4 linked regions of the Schizosaccharomyces pombe genome follow. The gene in region 2 interacts genetically with the main gene of each other region. Each region holds a gene or a part of one and is shown on either strand. Other genes may lie near its edges.

Region 1 (4,171 bases), on a different chromosome or scaffold from region 2:
GACCAAAAATCTATTCTTTTCAAGAGATATCTTTGCGTTGATAAATGTTGGTGGCACGGAAACGGATGCTGTCTCAAGCTTTCGTGGTGTACTGGTTTGATATGAAATTTAAACACCAAACTTACATATTAGTTGTAGCGAGTCTTTCGATTAAATTACGGTAATACCGTTGCAGCATCGTTTATTTATCTATCAATTAGGGAAATTTAATTTAATGCAATTGGATTAGTATTATTACAGCAATTTAATATATACATAAGTTAATTCCACCGACACATTTTCTACATGTTGAGATAGCGGCATTAATACTTTTGCATTAATTATTTATTTTTTATGCACTTCAGAAAATAAAAAAATTTTAGATAATATATATTTTTTTAATATCCCCGCATGTTTCAAATTTCCAAAATTAATATACTAATAGCGATATTCAATGAGCACGTTTCTTTAAATAGGAAAGTACACAGTCATCTTCTACAATAACGAGTTGTTTGAAAATACAAAATTAGCGAATTAATTAAACTCCTATGTTTTATTTTTAATGTATGAAATATATTCCACCTTTAAACTATTTGCTAATCTTGTCTAAACAGTAGCATGCTTTAACTCCGAAATGCTTTTAGCAAGAGATTGCTCCAAGTTTTGACTTTCAAAACTTAATGACTTTGTACGGTCTATAATCTGTTGGAAAGCTGAATAAGTAGGGTGTTCAATTATTATTGATTCACCGTCCAACTTAGCTTTAAACCCAAATTGTACCTCGGGTTCGGGCTCTTCGGCTTCAGTAGCAGTTTCGGCTTCCGTGATTAAATCATCAGCAACAACATTTGTAGAGGTAGATTCAATACTTTCATCTTCAGTACTTTGATCGGCAGCTACATTAGAAGCTGCGGCAACTGAAGGATTATTACGGTTTTCAACAAGTTGTATTAATTGAGCACTGTCCATTTCCAGCTTGTTAGCAAGCACATCAACACTTATGACACTGTGAATACGGCAATATGCCTCAGCAAGTAATTTGCGAGCACCTTCCAAAAAGTGATCGCACAAAGATACGAGAAAAAAGTCGGTTTTCAAAACCTCTTCACATTCTCTGAGGCAATGCTGAGCTTTTTCAAAGTCGACCTCAGTATACAAAGCAGAAATAAAAGAGGTCACAGGATCGCTGTATTCATAGTTTTCTTGGCTAATGATGCGTACGAGATCTCGCATCCTTCTTTGATAAGATTGCCTAGGGTTACGAGGTTTTTGATTTGCATTATTTTGGTTAGTAACAACAGCGACAGTCAAATATCTTAATAGCCAGGGACAAGAGGTTTGGATGGTGTTGAGATAAGGAGTATAGAAGAACAAATCACAAAGAGTATCACAACCATTTGCATGATTAAACAAAGGAAACAAGGACCAGTGGAGGAGCCAAGTTCGATTTCTCAATTGAACAGCAGAATCTTTAAAGCTTTTGGAGTCCACCATTTCGCGAAGTTTTCCCAATTCCTCCATAGCCCCATCCCAATCAACAGTCAAAATTTCAGAAGCAAATTTACCCCAGGTCGCGGAGGCGTTTAATTCAGGGTCTTTACTGAAGGCACGAAAATGATAAAGTAAATCTGATGCACCACCGTAGTTTCCACAATTATATTGAAATTGAGCAAACTTGTAAAGAACAGCTATACGTTCAGGGGTAATGTTGTAATGTTCTTGTAGGTGTTGTAAATTTTGACCTTTATCTTGACGAAGAGCTGCAATCAAGTCAGGATTTTCTAAGACACCTAAAATTCCTTGAACCTCTTCTTCAAGTTCAGAGAGCTCTTGCAAAACACTGCGTCGCTTTTCAGCAAAAGCATTTGCCATGTCCTCGTCGGTATGACCCCCATGAAGATTAGTCCACAAGTTGGCCACATAATCAGTCATATTGGTATCTTTAAGCAAATCATACTTAGCTTGTAAAAGCTCCTTTGGATCATGAGTCTGTCTTAAAGATAAAAATTCCAATAGAGGAAAAATGAGATGGCGGTCAAGGTGTTGCATAATTTTTTGCGACAAATCATACTTGACCGCTATAAAGGTTAGAAAACATTCTCCTGTATTTAAAAATAAATCTAAATTAGCTTACCTAAAGGGCTTGTACTCTTAAGCTCGGATCCCATATCTGATATGTTTCACGCAAAAAAAAAGTGCGTGGTGTGGGGAGGATAGCACAACTCACCCAAAACTCTAGTAGTAGCCCCCTTAGACTACAGTACTGAAAAGCAATATGACAATAGTAGGTCAGCAATGTTCGTACAAAAAATATTAAATTCCTTAATGATATTTTTGCTTTTTTTAACCAATAGTTTTTCATAAAACTAATTAAGCTCGAACTTACTACCAGCTAATGTAAATCAATGTGTAAGACAAATTTTTATCCGATTCTTGATCTTTACTTAAATTGTAATTATTGTCAAATACTGGTTTCTAATATTTTTTTAACTTTCGATATAAATAGCACTTCTTATACGAATAATACATAAATGCTACTTAATAAAATGTAAATGCTTACTAAGAGATAAGTTTTACACGTCCATCCATCAAAATGATAAGCTCGATATCAATCGATTTAGTAATATTACAGTATTTACGCCCATAATCTATAGCAAATTTTTCAATTACAAGTTGTTCTAAATATGCAAGAGCAATATGGTCCCCGTTATATCCTAATAAAAATAACGTCTCAATGGCTCTTCTTTTTCTTCTTACTTTTCTTGACTTCTTCTGATGCATCATCGGCAGAACGCTTTTTCTTAGACTTCTCCTTTTTCTTCTCCTTCTTGTCTTTCTTTTCTTTCTTGCTCGGCTTTTCTGAAATGGTTTCAACAGTCTCTTCAACGTCAATGTCAACCTCCTCGTCTCCGTCTATGTTAACACTCGATAATGCCTTTTCATAAGCTTCTGCCATTGCAATACTATTGCGAGTAGGGGCGACACCGGTATCGAAAAAGTTGAGACGTTCCTCGACTTGTCGACGAAGAACTTGACCAAATGCCGTAGTTGGGGCATCGCTAAAGTTATCAATACGGCTAGCAATAGAACATTTGTTAGCCAAGAAACGAGAGATGCGGCCTTTGTTTTTAGCGCCAGCTTTTCCAATAAAACTAGAATGGTAAATAATACCGTATTTAGGCGTGTTTCCACGGGTTTTCAGAGCACGGAACAAAGCCTTTTCAGCACCTAGAATCTGTACCGTAGAAGCCGGGCATTTTGACAAGTTAGTTAGACTTCCGGCATGAGAAATCAAACGAGCACCAACCATCTCACCAATTAATTCAGCAAGATTGGGAGCAACAACATTCATCTTCTGAACCAAATAGTTATGTAGCTGTTTACGATAATTACTAAGTTTAATAACACGTTCAGCAAAAGATAGAATATTCTCGAGGTCAATTTCAGAGATATCTTGTCCCATAGACACTTTACCAGCGTTGATTATACTTTGAGCAATATCTTTGTCATCGTCTACAACGGCTGCCAGATCATGAAGCATTTCGTCGTTAATGGTGGTTTTATCACCAACCAGTGTAACAATAACAGCGTATTTGTAATTGTCTCCAACGATCTTCGAAAGCTCAGGGAAATGCCAAGAATACCACTCTTTCATGCGCATAGCGAAAGTATTAATGTCCTTGTCAAGTTGATCAAGGATAGCAATAGCTTGGATAATCATGTTGTCATTTCTGTTAACATTGAACTTCACTTTTGCGCGAGAGTATGAATGTCCTAAACCAAGCTGAGCCCTTTCGAAATCACCGGGTGATAGTTGCTTGAGAAGTTTATCACCATGAAAACGAATACCACGGAGAAGATCCTGGGTAAGCTCAGAAGTGTCACATTCAATGGCATCAATTTCGGATTTAATAGACGTTGCTAAATTTTTGTCTTGGACTCCCAGAGACACCTTTTTCTTCTTTGAGGCTTTCGGCAAATTGAGTTCCAAAAAGTTTTTCAAAAAATCATTCAAAACGCCTTCAGAAATGTCGTTGGCATTTTCCAAAGCATGGGCAGCATTTTTAAAAGGAATAAAACTTCTAAGCTGCACCACTTTACCAAATTTTGAAATATCCTGAAGAGACAACTGCACTTCCTTTGTCTTCGCTGCTATTTGATCAGCTCCAACGACATCAAAAAGGGAATACCC
Region 2 (4,453 bases):
CAAGCGTTCTACAACCAATGGTAAATCTGGATCTTCTCCACGAGGTGCTGAAGCGCAAATTTGTTGATTAGGGCATCCTTCACATGCTGATGCAGTTCCTGCATTTTCAGATGACGGTCCGGGGCAATGCTCTGGTGCATCTAAAGGAACAGTTTCTTGGATTTGCATAGAAAAGCCAATATTAAAGCAAATGCTTAGTAAAAGTCTTTATTTCACGTGCTTAGTGAACTTTTAGTAGCTATTTTTGTAAACCACGTATGGTAAATTATAAGTGTAATCCGGTGTAAATTCTCTTCAAACGAATTTTTGCTAAAAGCTTTACCTCTTGTTTTACCACAATATTCTGACTAAGCTTGAAACCGTTTTACGATCTCTTGGCTAGTGGCAATGAGCTATATCGGTTTTCTACTAATCGAGTTCTAATTTTTTTACCGTAATACCCTAAAGTGTGTTAAAAGCAATGTTCATGAAAAAAATCACGTTGGAAGCATCGAAAATCAGATATTTCCAAATGAATTAAACGGCACTTAATTTTCCTTCGCTTCATTTTTACTATTCCAACAAATACATTACTTTACACTTAGCTTCTAATTTACCGAGAAACAGTTCATAAGATTAAAAAATAAAGAAACCGAAAATATAAAACCGATTTAAAGATCTTAGATTTGCACATGTAATTGAGTATTATACATGTAACCTTTTTAATGAACTTTCTACATCCGTCCTTTTTAAGCAGTAGAAGAAGCTTCAAGGGAGGGTCCAGCAGCTTCTTCAAAAGTGTTGGGTGGAACAGAGTACAAGCGTAAAATAGGTCTGTTGGGATCCTTTACAAGGACATATTTTCCATCAGGCATTTTCAAACAGACATCTGCAATAGTACGAACAATACCCCAACCATTAGACAAACTTAAGTTCATTTGGGAAGCCAAATCAGCAGGCTTATAAGCTACAACACCCAAAATGCCGTGGTGCTGAGCGTCACGGGCATTTGAACGACTGACAAAACCAACCTTCATGCTATCAACACCAGCCAATAAAGCTTCGACAGTCCAACGGGCAAGCTTGCAACTATTGTTCTTCATTTCAGTGGCAAACACAGCACCTCTTTGACTTTCGAGCTTGGAACGCCAATCCACAGAACCAGTAACATTTGTAAATTTGGGATCGTACTCATTAAGAGCCTTGATAGAAATGTATTGAACATCGTTCGCAGGATTTTTAACATAACCGTCAACTTCGGTACGAACCATTAGCTTAACAGGCTTTTCGTCTGTCTCGAGAGAAAGATCAACATCCCGATAGATATAACCGTGAGCAGCCAATGGCTCACTTTCTTCCTTAGAATTATAGAAGGGATTGGGATGAGGTAATTTATATTTCTCTTCTTCGGTTTCACGTAAAGCTTGGACGCAGAAGTTTTGGTTAATGTACGTAGCTTCGACAGAAAGGGCTCCAGGAGAATTAACACCTTCGCGGTTGTCAGCGTCCATGGGAGAATCGTATGCGTTTTCATTGACAGTGAGATAATCAAAAGGTCCGCCTTCACGTTTGTCAAAGAATAGCTTTCCACTTTGGTGAGTAATTACAATATCCCAGGGATACACTGAGCGAGTTGAACACATCAATAAAGACAAAATGGAATCCGTAATGAAAATGTTAGCATCACTATTAAGAGCGAGTTTTTGGATAACGGGGTCTTCAGTAGTGGTAGGGTTGTAATGAACACGGTCCAAGGCTTGTAATGGTTTTTCTGATTTAACATGAATCTTGTCAAAAGATTTGTCATAAGGATAAATATAACCATATGAATCCACAGTAACAGGAGCAGCAGCAGCTAAATTGAGCTTAGATAAATGGCTGAACTCAACCTCGTCAAGAAGCTGCCAGTCGTCACCAACAGTAACACTGGCGTTGCGAAGACGTTGATGTTTATCATAATCCTTCCAACCAAACCGACGACCTCTTGCTCCTCCAGCGCCTGAGGATCTAGAAACCACTGTATCACCTGCACCTCTTCCACCAGAAGAACCGTAGCGACCGCCACGACCACCTCGTTGAACGTTTTGTCCTCTACCGCGAACCTTCAATAAAGTGCCGCCGTTGCGAGCGGAAGTGCGTGTACGATTGACAGAACCACGATCGATCACCGAGAAACTGGATTCGTCCTCCGAATGCTGATAACCAAAAATGGACGACGCGCCATAACCATAAGTTTGATATTGGTCACGGAAACGACCAGCAAATGCTCCTTGACGTCCACGTTGTTCACGTCCATCTTTAGGTTGATCAACAGACCAATCTGCAATTTTTCCAAGACGGTCACCTTTACTAAAAGGAGCATAAGGAATATCACCTCCTATCTGTTCCGTTTCAGGAGGTCCCCATGCTGATTTTACGGGTGCTAACTCAGGCAATTTAAATCCAGTTGCCATTTGGGAGTGGTGAAGTTTTCTTCGAAGTGGACGCCAGTATAGTGTGCAAACGAACTGGGAGACGCTAAAACACCAAAGCCAACAATGGTAATATTTGAAGTTCTAAAGCTTTATTTGTAATACAAAAGTACTTAAATGTAATATATATACTTTTTGGTTCGTGAAAAAGTTAAATGTTATACATTTCCTTTTGCAATCAAGGTGCTATATTTGTAGAAAAACTACATCTATTAACAATTAGTATATGTTACTGTATTTATCAAACTACTTCTTTATTTGTGAACCCACATGCCTATTCAGAAGACGATATGTGGAAATCTCAACCACTCACTACATTATAAAACTATAGTAGGTAGAATTACTTTATCATACTAGCAGGTTATATCAGCACTAAATGTTATTAAATTAAAAAATGGGAGAAATTGATATTGAAATAAAAGATATGTTATGCTATAATTTAAAACTGATTACGACATCAGACTTTGCCTTTATAGTCATTGTCTCAAGGCTTAAATGTTTCTGACAAAAGCATGTTTTAGAAAATTTTAATTTCGTCAACGCTGTCTTTTGAAGAAAGAAAAAAATGAACGCCAAGGTTCTCAGACATTCTCTCTTTTCTGTCATCACATGTCGCATAAAAAATATACACATCTAATCCTATTAAAACAATTGTTTGCGAAGAAATTAATGTATAAAAACGGAAAGCACCAAATATTAAGCAGTGTTAAATGACCGCAAAAGCTGCTAAGTAGCAAAGGAGAGAGTTTAGTGCATCACATGATAAAGGATCGCATTGACAGCCTAGCACACGCAAGGAAAAAGAATGATAAAGTATGAATTTAAAATATTAATAATAATGATGGAAATATGTGAGGTCTCTATTAAAGAAACGGAACTAACTTCCTCCAACCCCGTTTTCTTTGCGCTAATCCCTTATAATGATTTATTTCATCTAGGCAGTCCCTTCCATAATTACAGCCTGCCAAGTTTACCAAGAAGTCTCCTTCTTTTTGGTTATAAAAGAAACGAGGATTTTCACCTTCACCAGCACAAGCACCTGGAGGATATGAATTGAAAAGGCGAAGAGGAACGAATCCCATGCCGCTTCGAAGCCAAGCATTATTCTCGTAGAAGTACTCAATTGCATTTTGCTCATCGTGAGGCCAATCCATGTGCTTTTGCCCATAGACTACTGGATCCCAAAGGAAGTCCATCAATCTGCTAGTCCAATCACTTCGACGAACCAGAAAAGAACCCAAACTGAAACCGTTGCAATCTTGCCCTAAAATAAAGTTGATATCTTCACTATAGTCAACAAATGGAATTTCGTGGAAATTTTTTGGATTGAACTCCATGCTATCAGTAATATTCCTGGTCGCAATATGGTCAAGTCTGTTAATAATAAGCTTTTCAAGAGAATATTGAGGTTCCATGATGAATGTTGTTAAATCGACCCACCAAAACCATTCAGCATGAGGGTATTTCTTCATGGCTTCCATGATATAATCTGCTTTTTCCCAAGATTCACGCCATTCATGAGCATATCGTCTCTTTAAGCCTGTGCTCTTCACAAAGAAATGATATCCGTGCCTTTCAGCGTATTTCTTCTTGTTCTCCGTTGAAATCTTCTCCAGCTCCCATTGTCTGGGACTTTTTACATCTAAAACGCCACCTCCGATGTTATTGACAAATATCATAACAACATTACTCTCTTTGGGACGCGTCAAGAGTGTATGCTTTAAAAAGTAGCCTGAGCAGAGCAACAGTACCACAAAGACGAATAACCTATGTAGATGCGTCTTGGTAAAATACTTCCTTCTAGTATCACCTTCTTTGGAATCAAGTACATTGGAAGTGCCTGGCTTAGGGTAAGGAAAGGATTTAAACTTAGCTAATGCTTCTGACTTCTTTTTGGGGTTCCACATTTTTTAATATAATATAAGACTCGACGTTTACGTTAATTCTTCTTATTAACCTTTAAATTATATATTTTCGAATGATAATATGACTACGGCAATGCC
Region 3 (6,398 bases), on a different chromosome or scaffold from region 2:
GGTCCAATTGTGAAGCGTATTCAGCCAGCTCATCCTCAAAAGATGAAGTTTTTTCTTTTGAGGATGAGCCCTTTTTATCACCATATCCATTTCTTTCGCTTAAACGTCGCCGTTTGACATCTGTAATTTCGCCATGAATTGAACCATTTCTTCGGGGAAATGGATAGTTTTCTTTATTTAACACGACGCCCTCATTTGAAGACCTATCTGTCATTCTAGTAATTAATTTTTTATTTATTATGAAAATTAGAACAGAAAATGGTAAATAAGGAAGACACCAAGCTTACATGCTCTTGGTTTTTGGTAGGAAGACGAGCAACTAAAAGGGTTTTGTAGGTAACAACAAATAGGTACTTAGGCGAATATCTTGTAGGTAAGTTCAAAGCGTACACCAATAAATTTTGGTATGAGTGTCAACTGCTGAAAAGGTAAAACCACATTAAATAGGTTAGCTGTCAAATTACGATGGAGAAAGAAATCAAATATACAAGTTTATACCAATCTCCATCAAGCTACATAAACCACTACTTAATGTATTCTTGGGCATAACAAAAGACTAATTTATTATTAATGGAAGATATTAGTAATAAAAAGGACGCAATTGTCCAAAAACAAAAAGAACTAGATTCCAAGCAATAGGAATTAAGAAAACTGAGCAGAGTCATCAGCCTACAAACCGACAATTCCGATAATTTATTCTGAGACTTTGTTTACCAACGCCTAATGAATAATACAACATCAAGGTCATGTCAGTTAAACCAATACGATAACATTAACAGTAAATACGTAAAGAGATAGATTAAAAGCTGTGTCTGAAAGACAACTAAAAGAGCGAACCCTATACGGGCTAAAACCAAAACGGGATTTTAAGAGAGGGGTAAAAAATAAGATTTAAGAAGAACGAGGTTCAAGTGAGAGTGATTTATCAAATAAATAGGACAGATCTTGGTTAACAAAGCGACACCGATGTAAAATATAGCTTTGAAGATCAGTATTAGATTGCATTTCGTAAGAGGAGGATTGGAATCGGCACACATCTGCGACGACATCGGCAAGTCGATGCCGCTTATTAAAACTTAACAGATGTGGAGATGAATCAAGAACATCGGGGTTACCTTCATCGATAAAAGTCAAGTCACTTAATATGACACCCAAAAACGGTACGCAAGGAAGTTCAGCCTTGCGAAGTAAAGCACGATAAGTACTGAAATTTTTCTTTGTTTCCACGATTTCACGTAAACCAGACAGACATATTATGTCTTCAGCTTTAACAAGTTTGTACGCTGCATGTAAACGATAAATAGGAGCAGAATTTAAGGCAGAAACAATAGACATTAGAGTGGAAAAGTTTTGGAGGGACAAGCACTTGTAGGCAGTTTGTATAAAAAAGGATATTACTGCTGTACGAGCTTTGGTATTCTTTTTCTCTAAAATACAATTGATTATCCAATAGGTGAAACAATTCGAAAAGTTTATATAATTTCGGACAGCGCTGCGAGAATCGCGACTAACCCAGCTTCTAAATATCCATTCCCTCGAAGGAATCTGCTTTAGATAATCAAACTCCAATAATGTCATCTGGGAAGCAAATTCTTCAGGAGTATAAGCATATACGTTTAAAGAAATAAAAGTAGCCATGGGAGAAGATAATAGGCGTTGGGTTAACGAATCTGGAGGCTCTTCAGTCCAGAGATTGTCAATTTCCGATAAAATTACACTGCCAATATGAAAAGATGGAACAACATGGTCACGTAAAAAGGTACGCATCTCCGAAATCAAATAAAGAGTGTTACGGGCTTTTAAATCTTCAAAAAAGTATTTTTGAACCCACAAATTCATAACGGTGCAGACGTTCTTCTTGGTAACAAAATTATCTCCCTTTTCCCAAGAACTATATGCTGTAGCATCTAATCCTGGTGGCGGTAACTCGTGAAACAGAATGACAAGAAGCGTAAACAATTCCTGGGGGGTAGTGAACGTTTTATAAGTCAAAAGAAACGAATGGCGAAAATCTTTGTTCAAGTGAACGTTCTGGACAAGGTAATGCACGAGGGCCGGTAAAGTTCCACCTTTAACATTGTTATCGCTTTGCACAACTTTATTGGTTAACAAATTATCCAGCATCAAAATTGATTGCAAAGAGTTTCTGCCAAGTGTTAAGGTATCCTTGCTCATCTCGCTAACAGCGGTAAAATCAGAACTTCTAGAAATTCTAGTAGTACCTTTGTTAGTTTGACGAGCCGGTTCGTCATCTTTTGCTGTGTTTGCATTTGAAAACTTGTTTTCAAACTCTTTTGTTGCTAATTCCTGCATCTCATCGACGAGAGCAGCACGTACTTTAAGAAAATCACAAACATTTTCAAATAAAGTTTGGAAAGCCACAGCAATGGAAGCAATCATTGTAGGCATTGTAGAAAAATCGTTTGAGTGCTCCATCATCAAGTCTTGAGATGAACAAACCAGATCAGTTAATAAATCATAACAACGTTGCTTTGTAACAAAGTAAGATTGGACTGCAAAGTTTGTAGCTTGCTCGCACTCACTTAAATCTTTATCAAAGTATATCGACATATCCCAACTTTCAAGTTTGTTGAAGATTTGTTCAGAGTGGCTAGTAATTGTGGAACAAATTTCAAAGACATACTCTTCATCGGCAAAATCAGAGAAGTTTTCAATAAATTCATCACAATTTTTCAATAAAAACCATACGCACTTGTCGAGTTCGGGTAGGCAAGGCTCAAGCAAGCGTGTTCGATATGCTGATGAAACAGCAGACAAACCATTGTTGGTCCATTTGCCCCCGAAAGGAGTATTGGGAACAAAAGAAGGGTAGTAACAAAAGCGACTAAGGTATAAACTATTATTTGCACACAGAGTAAAGAAAAATTGTAAATGGTACAGAAAATCCTCAGCGCTTTGCTGTAAGCGGGGAAAAGTGTGGTCTGGAAAAATAAAAGCACGATTCGAGAAGGTCAGTACAGTTAATCTCGAAAAGTAGGGAATTATCTTATCAAAATGTAATTTAATGGGGTTTTCAAACTCAAAGTTTTGCAAGAGATTGTGTTGGAGAAGATAAAAAGTCCCGGTCTGCTGGCAGAGATTGAAGAGTTCTTCTTGGAGAGAAAGAACGAGTGATGGAATGCTCAACGCATCTCTAGATTTTATAGCAGAAAGTAAATGAGTGAACAAATAAGAGAATTTTTCATAAAAAAGAAAGAGATTAATGACTCTGTCATTAAGGAAAAGATCATCAGAAGAAGGAAGGGGGAAAAAAGGACTATTTACGAAAGAAGAATTGGGTCGCAAGGAGGACTCGGTTTGTAGTAATGAGTTAGATGAATTTGACAAAGATGAAGAATGGTTAGTACGCACAGGACCAATCGAACATCCAGACAAGGGCAAAGAATGAACAGACGCTTGCATGTCTTCAAAGGGAGATGAGGGAGGAGTGAAATCGCTTACATAGCGAATTTCTGGAGAAGCTCGGGTATTTCCTTTTAAAGGAGTTAACGGTGAACGAGGTGAAGGTTGTCGTGTAAGGGAATGGGTTGAAGAGAAACGATCATCGAAGGAGCCCTTCAAATATGGAAAGGGAGAAGTCGATGATTTATCAGAGGAAGGAGTGGGTAAAGAACCAAAATAATCGGACTCGCCATTCTGATAAGAGGAACCGGCTGTGTAAGTAGAGGAAAGAGCGTAGGAATCAGACATAGTGGAGGGAGAAAGAACACTCTTGTCTGAAAATGTGGGAGAAAGAGAATACGTAGAATAACTAGGAGTACTGGGTTTGGAAACAGAAGTCTCAAAACCCTGCCTTGATTTGAGGCGTAAACGATCCAAATTTGGTCTTCTCATTGTAGCATTGACGGTCTATATTATCTATCTATTTATTTTACCTCGAGACTTTGATATAAACAAAGTATATATGTTTGCTTAATTTAAAGTCACTTTAGGGTAGACAACGGCGAGTGAGTCAGGGAATTTTAATGTTTCTGCGAGGCATATCCTCAATTTTAAAAAGAAAAACAAGTTAAATAGTAGCAGTATAAAACCAAAAAGACCCCACGCACCAAAACACCAAAAAAAAAGGGTTTTTTATGAGTATATAAGAAACAAAAAGATTTTAAAAAAAAAATGAAGCAAAAAACGAAACTAAAAAGAGAAAAGGGAAAAAAAATACACCAAACTAATGAGTACAGGGAAGAAGCATACGCAACAGAACTACGATGCCACACGAAGTCCAACTCAGAGCAAGCTAGGCTCCGTATAAATATAATTTTTAAATGGAAATAAGTTAAGGAAAAGTGTTTTCAATTGCTTTTTTTTCAATTCCAACCAACTTTTACTATTTCAACAGCCCCCTTGTTGTAGTAGGTAGTGGTTGTGAATACTCTACCACCGGCTCTACCACTTTTGTGACTTTGCGATTAGTGTACAAGCGAACAAGCTCTTTGTCACTTTTGAGATGGGAAATTTTTTTCGAGATAACAATTTGTCAATTTTTGAAAATGCCAATAACATCCGGCCGCTATATGTTTTTTATTGAAACGTGAAATGCACAGACGAACAGAATGCTTGAAGGCCAAACATATGGCATCACGCTTTTTGCCGCCTAGGTTCCCAGCAAGTGTAAACCTTTGTATGGAGGAAAACACAGGCTTCAGGTTGACGATTTATATGGATTGTGAAGGCACATTCAGTATACCACTTTCACCACTACATTTACTAGGTTAACAATTTGAAATTCCCTTTGGAAGAGAATTGGACAAAGCTGCAAAACTCCTATGTCTATCAGCGGGAAAATGGATAGGGCCCGAAGAAGTGTCGCATTTTGCTAAGCGAATCTCAAAATGGTCGATATTGGAGCAGACGGCACTAAACTTTTGATCATGGATTTAGAATGGCCGAATGAATTAGAAAGAGCGACGGAGTATACCATTCATTTGATGAATGTAATTTGGGAAGTTGTTAGGGGTGTTCGATGGGTAATGTTATTTTGGTAATGAATTTGATCATATATTTAGCAATAATTTTGACAATATTTTTTAAATAAATTTCATTGATTCTTGTAAACATTTTCTTCACTTTGTTATCTATTTAATTTGATTTTGAACATTTTACCTTTTCTTTTAAACGTTTACTTAACTTATTTTCCATTTTATTTTACGGCATTTCAATTTTTATTTATTTTATTTTCTTATTTTATTTTATTTTATTTAATTTAATTTTATTTGCTTTATTTTATTTATTTAAATTTTTTTTTTCTTTACCCGTCTTTATATATGTTTGCTCCCGCAAGTCTATTATTTATCCTTAATTATAATAAATATAAACAAATGTGCATCGTCAATTCAGTATTAATGGTAGGGCATTTGTTCCCTTGAATAGCTTGAGAATTTTTTTTGTTTTACTTCATTTAATGATTTTATTTGGATTACGCTAATGTTGCGAATGCAATTGCTTTTTTCCCTGAAGAGGCCTTTAGGGAAGAGTACGGTCGGGAAATGAACGAAATTTAATGTGACAGGTTATTAGATTAGGAGAAATGTATGTGAAACTAGGGCATATCTGTTATTTTTGTTAAATCGAAAAATGGGATTAAACTAACACTAACACTACCACTTAAGTCATTTTTATTTTATTTATTATTATTTTTTTATAATTTGATAAAAGCTTTTTTCTGAATTGATATTATTATTATTATTCCAACTTTAGGCACTGACCTTCTCATTCAGTACCTATATGGTTCCTACATTACTTTGCGTTTAGATAGTAAATACTGCTGTTATTCAATTATTACAACTATATCTGTTTTCCAACGAATTTCCTTATTTCTTACAACTCTTCTTCCACTATTTTATGTATAGATTTATTTTATCTTTTATTTTTTACTTTTTAAATTAGTATAAGCATTGATTGTATTCTTAATGTTACCATCATTTCAACCAACTGATTATATATAAACTCTTACTGCTGTTACAAACGTCCCTATTTCTATTTTAATTTTTTTATATTTTCTGTTTTTACCTAACATTCCATAAAGTTATTATCCCAAAAACCCATAAATGATCCAATATTTAACGTTTCAATGGAAAACCCCATCCTGACCCCATTAAGCAAAATGAACGCCAACCTGATGGAAGGCGTGCAACAGAGACAAAAACTCTGTTTGTCCACACTTAGAAGCTCGGGCATCTTGAAGATTGCATTGTTGTAAAACTCCGTCAATCAAAGATTTTACATCAAAGTCTTCCTCAACCATGCGTTCGTTTTGCGAACACCACGTGCGATAGTTATTTTCGACCATTTCGATAATTGAAGAGGTTTTAAAGCAAGCACCAATGGTTTTATTTTTCCTTAAAAACACAATCCGTAACAGACCATCCCATTCCTCAAAA
Region 4 (5,551 bases), 1.0 Mb from region 2:
TCTCCCTTAATGAAGTTGGTACGTCGAAATTATTGAAAATTTTGGAATTTTTTGTGAATTATTTCTTTTTATAGTGTGTAGACGGATTTGCTAATATTTTGATAGGTTTCTGCAAAGCGATTTAACAAAAGTGTCGAATTTCCTATGCCATTGAAAGAGCGACAGCGAAGAAGGATTGCGTTACAATGGATCCTCGGTGAATGTAAATCATCAAGTCCTAAAAGATTATCAGATCGTATTGTTAAAGAAATCATTGCTATCAGGAGCAAGACAAGCAATTGTTTCAAAAAGAAAGATCATCTGCACAGAATGTGCCTTGTTAACAGAGGTAATGCACCCGTTCGTATATAAAAACAAAAATTCCGTACATTTTTATCTTTTTTATGAATTGCATTCCCTTTTAGTAATGTTATTTTTGTCTAGTATATCGAGAATTGATTACTCTTAGTTATCAACTCAATTATACTACGTAGTGCGCAGTTAATCATATTCATGTTTATGAGGTTATAGTTTGGTTGTAAAATAACTTTCATAATATTCATCAACATTCTTCTACAGCTCCTTTTCAGTTAACGGAAATGCTACAGAATTTATCTTCTATGAAGTATATTGTTGTTTTTTCAAAACAAAGAAGGGAAAGTAAATTAGTTCATCGACTAAACTGTTAATTTCCTCTATATAAATTAAATTGACAATGTACAGCTAGCACAATGCTAGTTTAGAAATAAACAACAACGTGCAAAGACACAGTATCCATTCCTTTATTATGGACAGGATCCATAAGTTCAAACGTGCACGTTTCAAATGCCATTAAAACGTCTTCATCGGATGTGATGGTTATAAAATCGCCATCCTCATCAACATACTTCAGTCTAACCCGAAAAGGAACAGCTTGTTTCAAAATCCCACAAAGCTTTATTTTATGTTCTACCTTGGCTAACAGCTCATCAAATGTTATATCATGAGCAACAACCAGGACGAGACTAACCTCATGTAAACGGAGACGAATTTTAACATTCGTGGTATTTCGAACTGATAGGGAGGTAGACGTGGAACTCGAGCTTAACGAAGTATGTTTAGTAGAAGGGAGCAAACTACCATCTGATTTCATACCCGCTGAATATGAATATTGACGAGGTCTCATTACGTCGCAATCATTAGTAGTAGGTTGATCAAAAATTTTTTGTTTCGTTGATGAAGATGTATCTTCAAAAATGCTGACTGAAGACCCATCATCAGTACCTGAATACACCCTAGTTATATGACTTTGACGATTGTAGTTATAGTCGTTCAATAGCGAATTGACCTGGCTGATACGAGAGATTTGGCTAGGAATAGATGCAGTCGATGAAGAATCGTTACTAACTATAGTTGATGTTGTTTGCGAAGTACGAAGGCTACTGGTACCCACTGATTCTTCGCTGTTTAAACGAATGAAATCCGATGGCCTTTCATCAGTTGTGGTGGCAGACTTTGTATCCTTAGAAGTAGTTTTCGTGAACGGACTAGATTTGGAAGAGGGACTGGAAATGCTTGTAGGAGAATTAACATTTTCGTCAAGAGAATGTGTACGTAAAAGATCATAGTCGGAGGAGTTGTAACCCTTTGAAGTCTGAGAAGAAGAACGATTGTAGACAGGGTTAGCAGGGGTCGAAGCAGCACTACGAATATCCTTTGGAGATCCGTGCTCGTTTTTCCATAAAAGTCGATTAAGAACGGACATCCATAGTTTATGACTTTCTTCATTACGTAACTTAAGAATAAAAGATTCATGTTGAGGATCACCACGCCAAAATATTTGAATAGCATATGAGCCCATGTGATGGTTGGGAACCACAGTAGTGATGTTGGATGTCAGAATTCTTCCCTTCAGTTGAAGACTATCAAGACGTTTAGTTTTCTTGTTCATACTTATACTTCGGGCTTGCCGTTTCAGAGTTGACATTTCTTTACAACATAACAAAATTTTTTCAAAAAGGTAAACGTGATACTCTCTTTCTATATCGGCTTTGCATACATTAACAACATCCCAAACTAGCAGTTGTCCAAAGTATTGAAGAGAGTATCCTTTCCAATCAATCACACGTTGTTCAAGCTCAATAATGGCATTTCGGTTTTCATGAATACGACGAGTCTCATTAACTTGGTTTGCTACACGAACTACACAAGCCATTCCTTGTTTTAGTTCCTCTTCGTACTGATAACCTGAGGGAGTACCTTTTAGTAATTGATTCAAGAGAAGCGGATATTTACATATACGCTGTATAGGCTTAATCAGCAGAGCTGGTAATTCATAAGAGGGCTCAAGCAGGTTCGCAACTTTCAGTAACTGATTTTGATTATCAATGATCAGTTGTTGAGCATTCGGAAAATTTGTACAAAACACTTGGTAAACAGAAAATCCCTCTTCTAAGGCAATGAAGAGTGCGCCTAGTCGTTGTTCTTCTACAGGAAGCGAAAGATTCATCTCTAAACCAACCAAAAAACGTCTTTGAAAGTCTAAAATCTCGTTTAAATTCGTAAATATACTGAGAATAGTGTCCTGGGATAGAATTTGTTTTTGTTGAAGTATGACCATATAGTTGGACAAATATTCTAAATCTTGAATGTATTTTAATTCGGTTTCATATAATTCGGCAGTGACTCTACGGCCAGATGCAATCAAGCTGTTAAGAGTTCCTGTTGGTACATTATCATCAGTAGAAGGACTAGGAGTAGAAGATGATTTTGTGGTATTGGAAACTTCATACTTTTTCAATAAAAGTTCAATGGTTTGAAGAGCTCTAACAAGTGGAGCTGTCGAGGGTTTATAAATTTCTGATATGGAAAAAAGGGCGGCGTCTGTGAGTCCAAGTTCATTTTTACACATGAGCATGAAACGATATAAACTAGCTTTACACACGTTCGTATTTTCCAAAGAAACCGAACTATTAACTTCCAATTTTTGCTTAACTGGCAAGCAATTGAACAGGGCACACAATGGATAACCTAAACGACAAAACAGCCAAATTTCCGTAACTGGATCATCAAATTCAATGTCCTTAAATTCCAGTATTTTGAAAGAGCTATTCAAGGCTTCACGATGAATACTGTCAAAGAAAGCAGCCAACTCTGATATATCCATCAATCGCTTCCGGAGATTTAGACATCGTCTGTATAATGAAACCGTATTTTCTAAATTATAAATAACTTGTGACGGAGACTGTAAAAGCCTAAGTTTCATGTATTCTGACAGATTAGTCTCATCTTTACGAGGACCTACAAGGTTTTGGGTGCTGTGATTGATGTAAGAAGGAAGAGACCTAGAGGATGCTTTTAGAAGTTAGTTAGTTAATTGCATACACATAAATGGCGTTTTTGTGTTCTAAATTTCTTTCAATCGTTACATACTTTTGCGATCCTGAAAGTAGGCCATAACTGATAACTTCTTCTCGAGACTCCTTCCTAATGCAGTAAAATACAGAAAATAAAATTTCCTTTAACTGCTAGAAAAGTATAAGTACTCGCATGTAGTCCAATGCTTGAACAATTAATGGAAATTCAAACCAACAACCCAATTTCAAGATTTCTTAAACATAAAAAAGCCTGAAGTTTCTTTGGAATTAAATATAAAAATTAAAACTGACTCCAAAGTAAAATTGTCTAAAATAAGTTGCTGTTTTACTGCAATTGATAAAATCACAGTATGTATAGTTGACAAGGTACTAAGGTAATAGTGAGACACTTGGCGATCAGTTGAATCGAATAGCGTATCGTAAATGTATTACGGTAAATATACTTGTTTCTTCAGTTCATTTGATAGAAAATCCTACTGCTAAGTCTTTTGAAACGGAGATATTATGACGATAAAATAGCTGGCAACTGAAATTTCATTGCTAAAAAAATGAAGGGATATCTCCAACCATCCCAATATTAAAACGATTACAAAAGGCAAGCTTGCAAATTTGGTAAATAAATTAAGTAGAGCGATTGTTTTAGTAATGTAACAAGGAAAATCATGTATTGAACGGGAATTAAAAAAAAAATTAGTAAGACACAAATTTGGTAGGAAAGGTAGATGTCCAAGAAAAGAGTGAGGTCTTTAAAAAGGACGACGATGCTAAATAAACCAATTCAGCCTTTCAATTGATAAGAAGAGACAAAAAAGTTAAAAAAATTAATGTTAAGAACGTATTGAAATACAGTAGTAAAATGATAACGAATGGACCTGATGACTTAAAAGTATAAAACAGGGATAACGAGAGTAACGGCTTAATAAAAAGACTGAAAACAAAAATATTAAAGTAAAAGGAGTGAGTGCTTGACAGAAAGAACAAAGATAAGTAAGGGAAAATAGGAAAGATTTGAGGACTAGGACTCGGAGCACAAGTTTGACAACTTATCTGACAACAACTCGCTTCGGAAGAAAAATTGTCGTAGTTGAGATAATACATCTTGAGGAACAGAAGAGCTCATATTATTAGTGATATCACGTAAAAAGGTATTTTGTTCTGCACATAATCGTTGCCAATCAATAAGTAAAAAAGACAGTGTTTCTGTGTCAACGTTTCTTCCCATTGGAGAGGTCGAATGAGAAGAGGGACTTTCGGCAATTTCATGAGGAGATAATTCTTTTTTCTGTAAACTGTCGTTGGTATGTTTTAAAGAAGCCAAGATGGAATAAATAGAGGATTCAGAAGATTCGGATGGCTTTTCGATGAGACCCATCTTTTCAAGTCGTTGTTCCAATACTTGTACGCTATCATGAACTTCCTTCAGCATAAAAGAAGCTGAAGGACCAACCTTGTTAATCTCGTTTGATAAAGATAATGTACCAAAGCTCAAAGTGTTCGATAGAGACTTAAGATAACGTAACTCTGTCTCAGTGGATTGTTTCCTGATTTCTTCCAGCTCTTTCTTCGTATTCTCCATATCCTCTATAGGAGCCTTTAGTTTGGTTAATTTGTTCTCCTCTAGACTGCTTAACTTGGGTAAAGATTTGAGAAGCTTCGAGTACATCATTTGATATGCCAGTTTCTTTTCCAAATTTTCTTTTTTGGCTTTGCAAATTAATAATTTCTAAATTTTGCATGTTAACACACTGAATTAATGTTTCTATTTAAAACTTTACATACATTGTGCAATTTGCCAAACAAATTGGCTTCTAAAGGTTCCACTTCTTTGCTCTCACATATCGACTTGTTAATTAAAAAGGAATTAGCTGGAGAAAAGGCCATCGCGCTTACAGTCGAAAATATACTGCGTTTGGCACTAGCTTAAAACATGGAAGCTCCAAGTACTTACTATGAGTAGCGGAAATTGTGACTTGGCGAAACGAGTAACAAATGTTTATAACTATGTATTGTAAAAATAATATTTTATGAGTACGAAGATTAGTCTAAATGAATCGAAACTTTTTGAGGTAATTAGTAATTCGATTGTAGTTAAGGTATTTTATCTGAGAAACCGGCTTTCTAACGTTTTACAGCCACAGATCACTTAGACAACTGTTCTGATTAAAATATAACTTTTCCACGAAAGCTGATTATCACTTAGACCATAGCTAAAAAAT

What was found.
Region 1: of moe1 (region 2) and int6, extra expression of one rescues a mutant of the other (dosage rescue), as found in Schizosaccharomyces pombe (one study listed by BioGRID).
Region 3: mutations in moe1 (region 2) and efc25 impair growth when combined (synthetic growth defect), as found in Schizosaccharomyces pombe (2 studies listed by BioGRID, with this or other methods).
Region 4: mutations in moe1 (region 2) and scd1 are lethal when combined (synthetic lethality), as found in Schizosaccharomyces pombe (2 studies listed by BioGRID).

What each region holds. Positions count from the first base shown.
Region 1 is NC_003423.3:938,115-942,285, forward strand, and holds int6 (translation initiation factor), read right to left. Parts: upstream 2,195-4,171; 5' UTR 2,148-2,194; coding exon 2,114-2,147; intron 2,058-2,113; coding exon 586-2,057; 3' UTR 507-585; downstream 1-506. Other genes in the region: U3 snoRNP protein Nop56, read right to left, coding at 2,711-4,171. UniProt on the Schizosaccharomyces pombe protein: Component of the eukaryotic translation initiation factor 3 (eIF-3) complex, which is involved in protein synthesis of a specialized repertoire of mRNAs and, together with other initiation factors, stimulates binding of mRNA and methionyl-tRNAi to the 40S ribosome.
Region 2 is NC_003424.3:4,549,830-4,554,282, reverse strand, and holds moe1 (translation initiation factor eIF3d), read right to left. Parts: upstream 2,444-4,453; 5' UTR 2,433-2,443; coding exon 729-2,432; 3' UTR 542-728; downstream 1-541. Other genes in the region: Fe-sulfur cluster assembly ATPase Nbp35, read right to left, coding at 1-168; gmh5 (alpha-1,2-galactosyltransferase), read right to left, coding at 3,314-4,357. UniProt on the Schizosaccharomyces pombe protein: mRNA cap-binding component of the eukaryotic translation initiation factor 3 (eIF-3) complex, which is involved in protein synthesis of a specialized repertoire of mRNAs and, together with other initiation factors, stimulates binding of mRNA and methionyl-tRNAi to the 40S ribosome.
Region 3 is NC_003423.3:2,737,659-2,744,056, reverse strand, and holds efc25 (Ras guanine nucleotide exchange factor efc25), read right to left. Parts: upstream 4,386-6,398; 5' UTR 3,856-4,385; coding exon 892-3,855; 3' UTR 538-891; downstream 1-537. Other genes in the region: DNA polymerase delta catalytic subunit Cdc6, read right to left, coding at 1-214; cdh1 (SSU rRNA dimethylase), read right to left, coding at 6,113-6,398. UniProt on the Schizosaccharomyces pombe protein: Has a role in chromosome segregation and cell morphology upstream of the ras1-scd1 pathway. Promotes the exchange of ras1-bound GDP by GTP leading to its activation.
Region 4 is NC_003424.3:3,513,694-3,519,244, reverse strand, and holds scd1 (RhoGEF Scd1), read right to left. Parts: upstream 3,699-5,551; 5' UTR 3,416-3,698; coding exon 3,391-3,415; exon of another isoform or gene 3,313-3,390; coding exon 719-3,312; 3' UTR 511-718; downstream 1-510. Other genes in the region: rsm7 (mitochondrial 37S ribosomal protein uS7m), read left to right, coding at 1-18, 106-351; protein Pos1, read right to left, coding at 4,351-5,058, 5,115-5,216. UniProt on the Schizosaccharomyces pombe protein: Required for mating and morphogenesis. May contain a cryptic binding site for cdc42 that is enhanced by binding Ras. Interacts directly with scd2. Promotes the exchange of cdc42-bound GDP by GTP.